2 linked regions of the Drosophila melanogaster genome follow. The protein of the gene in region 2 purifies or fractionates together with the protein of the main gene of each other region. This does not show direct contact. Each region holds a gene or a part of one and is shown on either strand. Other genes may lie near its edges. The genes, in order: Obp56h and MME1.

Region 1 (3,444 bases), on a different chromosome or scaffold from region 2:
CAGCTCATATGTTACCCGAAAGGTACGTACATATGGGTATATATATATTGTAAATGGAGGCAGAGGCGGGAGAGTCTCACACGTGAAATGATTTATTAGCGGTAATTGGTGTCACAGTGTTCCAAAGAAAAGGAAAGGATTCTCATCCCCACATCCCGCATTCCATCCGCCGTCTTCTCGGTTGCCTGGCACCCCCTTGTTTCGAAGTTCTCTTTTAATTATCTTGATTTTAAACTTATTAAAATTGACAAATGATTTTCGTAGACAACATTGCGTTGGCTCGAAGGAAACAGGTTGTCAATGACGGCTTCCCAGAATCTCGAGAGTTGAGTTCTTTAACTCTGCCTTTTCCGTATTTCTGGTAGTTGTTAGCTTATCATTCTGGGCTACCCGAGCGATTTCTTTTGAACTGGGTTTTGGGCTCAATGTGACGCACCTATGTAGTTGGATTGGAATTCCGATTAGATTATGATAGGTAGTATCTTGAAATAAATAAAACTCCTGTATGATTGCATTATTTAGCATTAATAGGATTTTGCGATTTTAATGATAACTATATAGGCTTTGATAGTTATTCCTGTTATTATCCCTGCAAATAATCTTTGATTTGGTAAAACTTGAACAAGTTTATTTTACAAAATGCAACTAAGCCAACTAGGACGAACAGGATCAGGCATTAGTGATGTCCTGGAATGGCCTTGTGCTCCTTCAGGCACATGGTAACCTTAAAGGCCGTGTCGCAATCGTTGGTTCCCTTGATGTCCTTGCAGGCATTCACTCCCGAGGAAATCTCGTCCATTTTGTCCTTGATCTGAGGCACATTTTTGAGAGTGTCGAGCATAGCCTGAGCATTGAACTGGCCATTGGTGAGATGACCCTGCTTCTCCATCAGGCACTTGGTGTAGCACTTGAGGTTCTCCTTGGCACTGCTCTGCATCCCGCTGGCCATGAACTCCTTGAGATCAGCCTCGGTCACTTGGTTGGTCTCCATGCACTGTTGCATTATTTGGCGAAAGTCCGGATTACACTACGAAAAGCAAATTCATGGTTTAAAAACAAATGTACACAGTGCGTGCATATTTCACCTGTCCCATGGACAAAAAAGCTGCCAGAGCAATACAGAATAGGGTGAACTTCATTTTGAGGTATATATTTGTTAAAGCTGTTCCGGGTTTACTCGAAAATTTCGACTGTTGGTCATTTGATTGAAACTTGCGGCTTTTATACCAGATCAGTCTGAATCAGAATCAGAGGGAATGCAATTAAGGCAATTAAACTTTTTGCGAGATGAATCGAAATTTGATTACGCACAATACGGACAATTACTACACAACAAATTTCCCTTTTTCGATTGTAATTATATTCCATTATCAGTCCATTTGCCATATTCGATGGCCAGGCTGGACAGAAACTTGCTACACAAATCAGCAAAGTTAGTCGCAATTAGTTGCCGGCCCCCCACAACAAATCAATTATTCATTTATTGTATTTAGATGCGGTCAGAGTTTGACAATTTTTGGCCTTTGTTTGAGCCATTCACACTCGCCCAATTGATTTGCATACCATTTGTTCTGGCCTTTCTGCCAATTGCCGAATCCCCAATTGATATTTCAGAAGGCATTTAATCTCACATAATCACAGCAATATATCAGAGAATTCTGCCATCGGACGAGAGTTGGCGCTGAATAATTTACCAAATTAGCACAGCTCTAGCAAACAATTTGTAGCAAAACGATAATCATGAACTCCACCATTTGTGAATCATTAAAGTTATTAAAAATTCAGTTTTATTAGTACTGTGCTTAAAATGTTCCCTTATCAGATAAGGTTGTCATTGCGAATTGCATTTAATTTCCTTCGCTCTATTTTACACTTATTTAAAGTGCCAGCTAGTTATTGCTTAATGACAATTTACTTACAACAGATATGTAATTATAAAGTCTCATTAGTCGAAAACGTGAATTTAATTACACCATAAATTAAAAAAAAAAAACAACTTATAAAATTAGTAGCGTGTGTCACAAAGTGTAATACTTTGTATAGCATTCTTTTATAGTGCCAGAAGCAATTTATTTCAATCTGACAGCTATCAATATCTAAAAAGGTGATCTCATATATCTACCTATTCATCTGCAGACGTTTTTAATCGAAGTTACAGATTGCTTAAGTCTACTGTGCATATCCATAACAATTAAACATCCATCAGTCCCCTACTCCATGTATGATACTACAAACATTTGTCGGCCGAGTGGGAGAGCGTTGGGTATATATAGAGATATAAAATAACTTGCATAATTCCTGGGGAAATTCAAATCAATAGACAAACAATAAGCTCGAGTTCGCAGGCCAACTGCCATTTACAGGAGGGCTGTGGAAGCCATGTTGACAGCACAAATAATTTATGCCTTTGTTATGGAGAGAAGAGCACCTGCCCAAGTCGAAAAAGGAGCCTGTTCAGTTCCGTTCTATGCCTGGTCACGCCCACTTTGGCCCTGTGCCCCTCGATGTAAGTTGGATTTTCGTTTTTCGCCAAGAAACAAAAAGAGGAGTCCATGGTCGAAAGGACGACGCTACCAAGTCGAAGCAAAGTGGTTGACAAAAGGCCGAGCGGTTGGAAAAGCGGAGAGGATTCGACTACCACTGCTTGTCATTAGTCAGGCAGGATAAGCAAAAGGACATGGCCATAAAAAGGGCAATGCGATGGCGCCCGAACAGGGACACTTGCTCAGACACAAGGTGTGTCTCTGTGTTCTCTGAATGAATTGCTGAGTAACCAGTAATGAAGTAAAACTGTTCAAGTCCTGAATGTGTCATTGTGGCACGGGCCAAGCTGGGGAGACGACAACCGAACACAATTCACTGTCAGTTGCATTGTTTTGACCTGATTTACATGCCCCAGCCATCCAGCCAGCCAGCTCAACTGATATTAGGAATAGCCGAAGACCGTTCGGTGGACTTTTATAAATTACAAAGGCCACCGCACAAAAGGCGATAGATGCAGGATGCCAGGATGGCTCGGATCCAGCTGTCTGTCTCCTTCTCTCTATATATCCTTTCCCACTTTTCCTGGCTTTCCTCCTGCCTTTCCGGCCAGCAGACGACAACGATGACAGGACGAAACAAAGGCCAACGTTAATAAGCCAAGAGAATGGCGCTAGCCGTAGCAAACGTGGCTAAATAAAGAGCGGGGCAAATTGTAAGAAAGCAGAACTGTGTCACAATGTTTTGACAGGAGTTGGGGAAGAAGTCCTGAGGTCCTGCCCGAGCAGCTAGAGAAATGGAACAGGACAACACAGGACAACTCAGCTAGTTAAGCGGCCAAAGACAAAGTTGATAAAATTAGATTTGTATGGTAAATAGTTTGTGGGATGGCTGCCGACTGGCGAATGGCGAATGGTGGGGCAAAGTTTAATAAATGTATAAAATTAATTAGCCAGTTGAATG
Region 2 (4,181 bases):
AAACCATTTCTCAGTCAATGCAAGCCGTCCACCTCTCCTGAAGACCATTATACACGACCTGTCCATGTCCACCACTATGTCCCATTTGGTGCAGTATTTTTCCAGCTGGTTGATCATATCCTGAAGATCATCAATACTTTCGGAAAGTATTGCGATCCTATCAGCGTACATTAGGACATTCACACGGCGGCCATCGATGTCGATTCCGCCCTCCAATTCCTCGGGCAGATCATTCAAATACAGGGCGTATAATAGTTTTGAAAAACTATCGCCGTTTTTCCAAGTGTTTTTTTTCAACGTCTCTTTCAGGAAACGTATTATATTCAAGGAAACACCAAAATGTTTTTCGCACAGAAGCCGGTGTGTTTTTAAAGGTATCGATTCGAATTGAACGAAATAGGAGTAAACGCGCGACCCGCCAGCGTCCAACTTTCTCCGCAAGTAGTTTTCTGATTAAAAGCAGTAGTACTTATCTCGCTGCACTTCCAATTCTAATATTGTCGATCTGTTCGTTCCGCTTAAAAGCTTTCGATTGCACATCCAATTGGAATGAATCGAAACTAAGCTTAAACGTAAAGATACTTTTGCATGTAAAGTAAAGTATATTTTAAATGTAAGCCAAGCTAAACCGTAAAGATACTTTAGCATGTAAAGTAAAATATATTTAACTTTTAAAATCGGATACCAATTATTGGCGTTATATTTAAAAATCCATTAATATCCCTCGGTTACTGCGCATAGCTAATATTTCAAACATTTTGTTTATAGAATATCAGAAATCCAAATAAAGCAAACTCAACCGCATATGTAAACAATATTTAATATTCTAAACAGCCTCTCTGAAATACAAATTCTTAAATTTAAGCCTTCAGCAAATCATTGGTTAGCTCCACGCCGAAGAAAACTGCTGCGGTGGAGGGAAAGGCACGAAGTAGAATTGGCAGGATACCGCGAAATAGAGCTTTTGGGCCTTCTGTGGCCATGAGGTTTCTAAAAACGCTGCGAATGCCGTGCTTGTATGTTCCCTCAGGTGCTAAAAATATGGCATTTATAAATCATTGTAACTAAAGCGATTGGCGATTGGATGACTCACCCGACTGGAGACGGCTTTTAAGTACATCGAACGGCACGGCCAAAGTCCAAAACACAATGCCCGCCGTTCCGCCGGACAGAATAGTTGATGTGGTGCTAATCTTTCCATTGGCGGACTTCTTTCTAGCCAATTCCTGTAGGAATTCGTAGGTCACAAAGTAAAAACCGGTGGGCGAGTCTGTAAATTTTAAAATTATCCATAACTATTATATATACTATAATATTAAGCAATTAATTAACAACTGACCTCTCAGAATGCACGCGCATGTTCCCTTGAAGAGGCTCCGAATGCCACCCTGCCTATATAGCTTGGCGGCCGTGTCAATGGTTCCATTGTAGAGCAGAGGTCCGTTGGACACGGTTTGCGTCTGCAGAAGGACTTTTATACGATCGGTGGGCACTGTGACGAGGGCAGAACAAACTCCGGCCAAGGCTCCCGCGGCGAAGATTTGTGGGTAGGTGAGCCTAATGTGGTCATCCGTTTGGAACAATCGTTTACCCGCCGCATAGACGGCAAAGTCCACGGCATAGATGGGTGTTACTCCCACAAGTGGAGCGGATATTCCTCTGTAGAATCCGCGAAAACCCTCATAACGAAATGTCCTGGCGGCACAATCTATGACTCCCTTGTATCTCGGCGGCTGTCCAGGTGGAGGTGTGGGCATGGTTTGGAGACGGACCTAAAGTGGAACTTAAAGCATTACATCGTTTCCATTTGTAAACACAGTTTTGAAGCTCACCTTTATTGTGTCCAATGGATGGCCAACGAGCACATTGCACATGCCTCCCACGCCGCCCGCAATAAATGACTTTACGGGATTGGATTTCTTTTCTGTGCTGATTTCGACCTCCTCCATTGCTGAATTTTAACTATTTACGTAAACACGCCGAGAAATTCCGTCAGCTTCTGAACGAAATGCACGTGCTTGAAGATCGCTGGCTTCCTGATGAACGCTATCGCTTGGTGATCTGCTTGCTGCGCGGTTGCTGACCTATGATAATGCTGTGTGATTCCGAATAGCGCGGTATTATAATTTCCATGATCAATAGTGCCTCTTATCTATTTCAAATATTTCATTAGCTGTTCCAAAATTGCAGAGGGAACAGCTGATTTGCTTATCATGTTAACAAAACATACACCTAACATTGGCTTAACATTCAGCTATCGATTGCAGTCATTAGTATGACATGGTCAATCGAAATATTAAACAGAATGTTCATTCTTCTTTTTAGCGTTTCAAGCTTTATAACTTAAAGTTTGCTCTGCACGACATTGTCATTATAAATAAAATAAATTGTTAGAAAATTACATGCAAAACAAATTTTAAATTTCCCGTTCGATTACACAGTCTATCGGACATTCTGCGATTCCAAATTTCCATCGACATTCGCAGGGAAACGCGGGCGGCGGCCACACACTTCTTTTATTAATAAAGCGTTAAAAATAAATGGTTAACAAGTGTGGCTATCAAAGGTGGGTGGGCCAAGTATCTTCTGGCGCAGTGCTGGTTGGGCCAGTAAAGTGCAACCACTTTTCCAGTTCCCGTGCAAACGAACAAAACCTGTCACTTTTGCTGTGACCTGATAAGCAAGAAGAAGACTAGCCCACGGAAAGCAACAACAACAACAACGAGAACGACATTAGCAGCAGGCCAAATTGTTGCGTATTGTTTTTTGTTTTTTCAGTAGGGTTCTTGGGTGCGAATTTCGTGAAAAAAGTGTGCTTGCCAACATACGCATAACTTATGTCTGATAAAAGTGCGAAGGAATCATGTATCAGTAAGAGTGCGAGCTGCAGCAGCAGGCGCAAGAGAAGAAAGTGAGCGAAAACGCAACCGAAACCCGAAGTATATATTCTAGCAGCAGTCGAGCAACGTGCTTTGTCGAACGATGTCCCATGGCGAGGATGTGTTAGACAACTGGGAGGAAATCGACGAGGATGGGGTGAGTGCGCCACGCGATGTGATTGAGCATCATACCTGATAACCAATGGAACACCCCCCCCCCTTTTTTTTTATTTTTTCTTGCCCAGCTCTCTATGACTCTGCAAACAAAGCTGCAGACGAGCGACCCACCTGTCAACAAAATGAAATTGCTCCAACGGCCGCAGAGCGTACAGGAGTCCTCACAAATCCTGAGCAGCGGCGATGGTGGCGGCGGTGGTGGAAACGGGGGCGGGAATCCCCCGCCACGGCAGATCACCATTGCCCGGAAGCCCCAAGTACCGCCAGCAGAGGTTGACTCATCTACCCAGCAGGAGCAACAGCAGCAGCCCGTCATGATGGTGCTGCACAAGACGACCAATGACTACGATGCGGCCACCTATTGCACGCCCACCAGCAACCAGACCGTCAAGATACTGCGGCGGCCCGCCCAGGCGGAGGAGCGGCGGGACATTAACGGAATGCGACCGAAGCAGCCCATCAAGACGCTCAAGCAGCGAGAACAGGAGTACGCCGAGGCCAGGCTGCGCATCCTGGGCGCTGCCAAAAACCCGGAGGATGACAAACCGTATGTTGCAATAACAAGTTGATTTAGTTTCCAAATTTACTTTATTTGATTTATTTTGGTACTAAGAAAGCATAACTTTTATGTTTGACCAATATTTACCATCGCAACACTAATAGGTGGAGCCAAATGACCTACCAGGATCTTGCCGATATCCAAGTTAATCTTAAAATTTCACTCAGAAGTTGAAGACTGACCAATGTTTATATATATAATTTACTTTGTTATAAATATTTTCTTGATACTAGAATATTTCTTTATGATTTGGTCTAATTTATAGAGATATCTAAACAGAAACCCACATTTAATCAGACATATGCACATATTCGTTGTTTTTTTAGGGCCACTCCCATCACGCCAGCTGTCAATAGCAGCAGTGTGGCTGTTTCGTCCGCGGCGCCGCCTGTCACTCCCCCCTCTGCGATCAGCAACAACAACGTCATCAACAACAATAGTAGCCATCCAGGAGGCGGAATGCACCGCTCGAGTTCGGCACCGAAAATGTCCCAAGTGACGCCGATGTATAATAACTACAACAGCTACTTCCCGGGACTGCACAATCAGCCTGGCCTTAACTACTA

The links.
Region 1: the proteins of MME1 (region 2) and Obp56h purify together in Drosophila melanogaster (affinity purification with mass spectrometry, with the first as the bait; one large-scale study listed by BioGRID). This does not show direct contact.

What each region holds. Positions count from the first base shown.
Region 1 is NT_033778.4:19,813,272-19,816,715, reverse strand, and holds Obp56h (Odorant-binding protein 56h), read right to left. Parts: upstream 1,163-3,444; 5' UTR 1,140-1,162; coding exon 1,086-1,139; intron 1,028-1,085; coding exon 677-1,027; 3' UTR 512-676; downstream 1-511.
Region 2 is NT_033779.5:7,025,579-7,029,759, reverse strand, and holds MME1 (mitochondrial magnesium exporter 1), read right to left. Parts: upstream 2,235-4,181; 5' UTR 1,950-2,234; coding exon 1,833-1,949; intron 1,773-1,832; coding exon 1,340-1,772; intron 1,271-1,339; coding exon 1,094-1,270; intron 1,034-1,093; coding exon 861-1,033; 3' UTR 801-860; downstream 1-800. Other genes in the region: CG31908 (uncharacterized protein), read left to right, coding at 2,983-3,036, 3,125-3,603, 3,942-4,181. UniProt on the Drosophila melanogaster protein: Mediates efflux of magnesium ions from mitochondria, suggesting a role in magnesium homeostasis.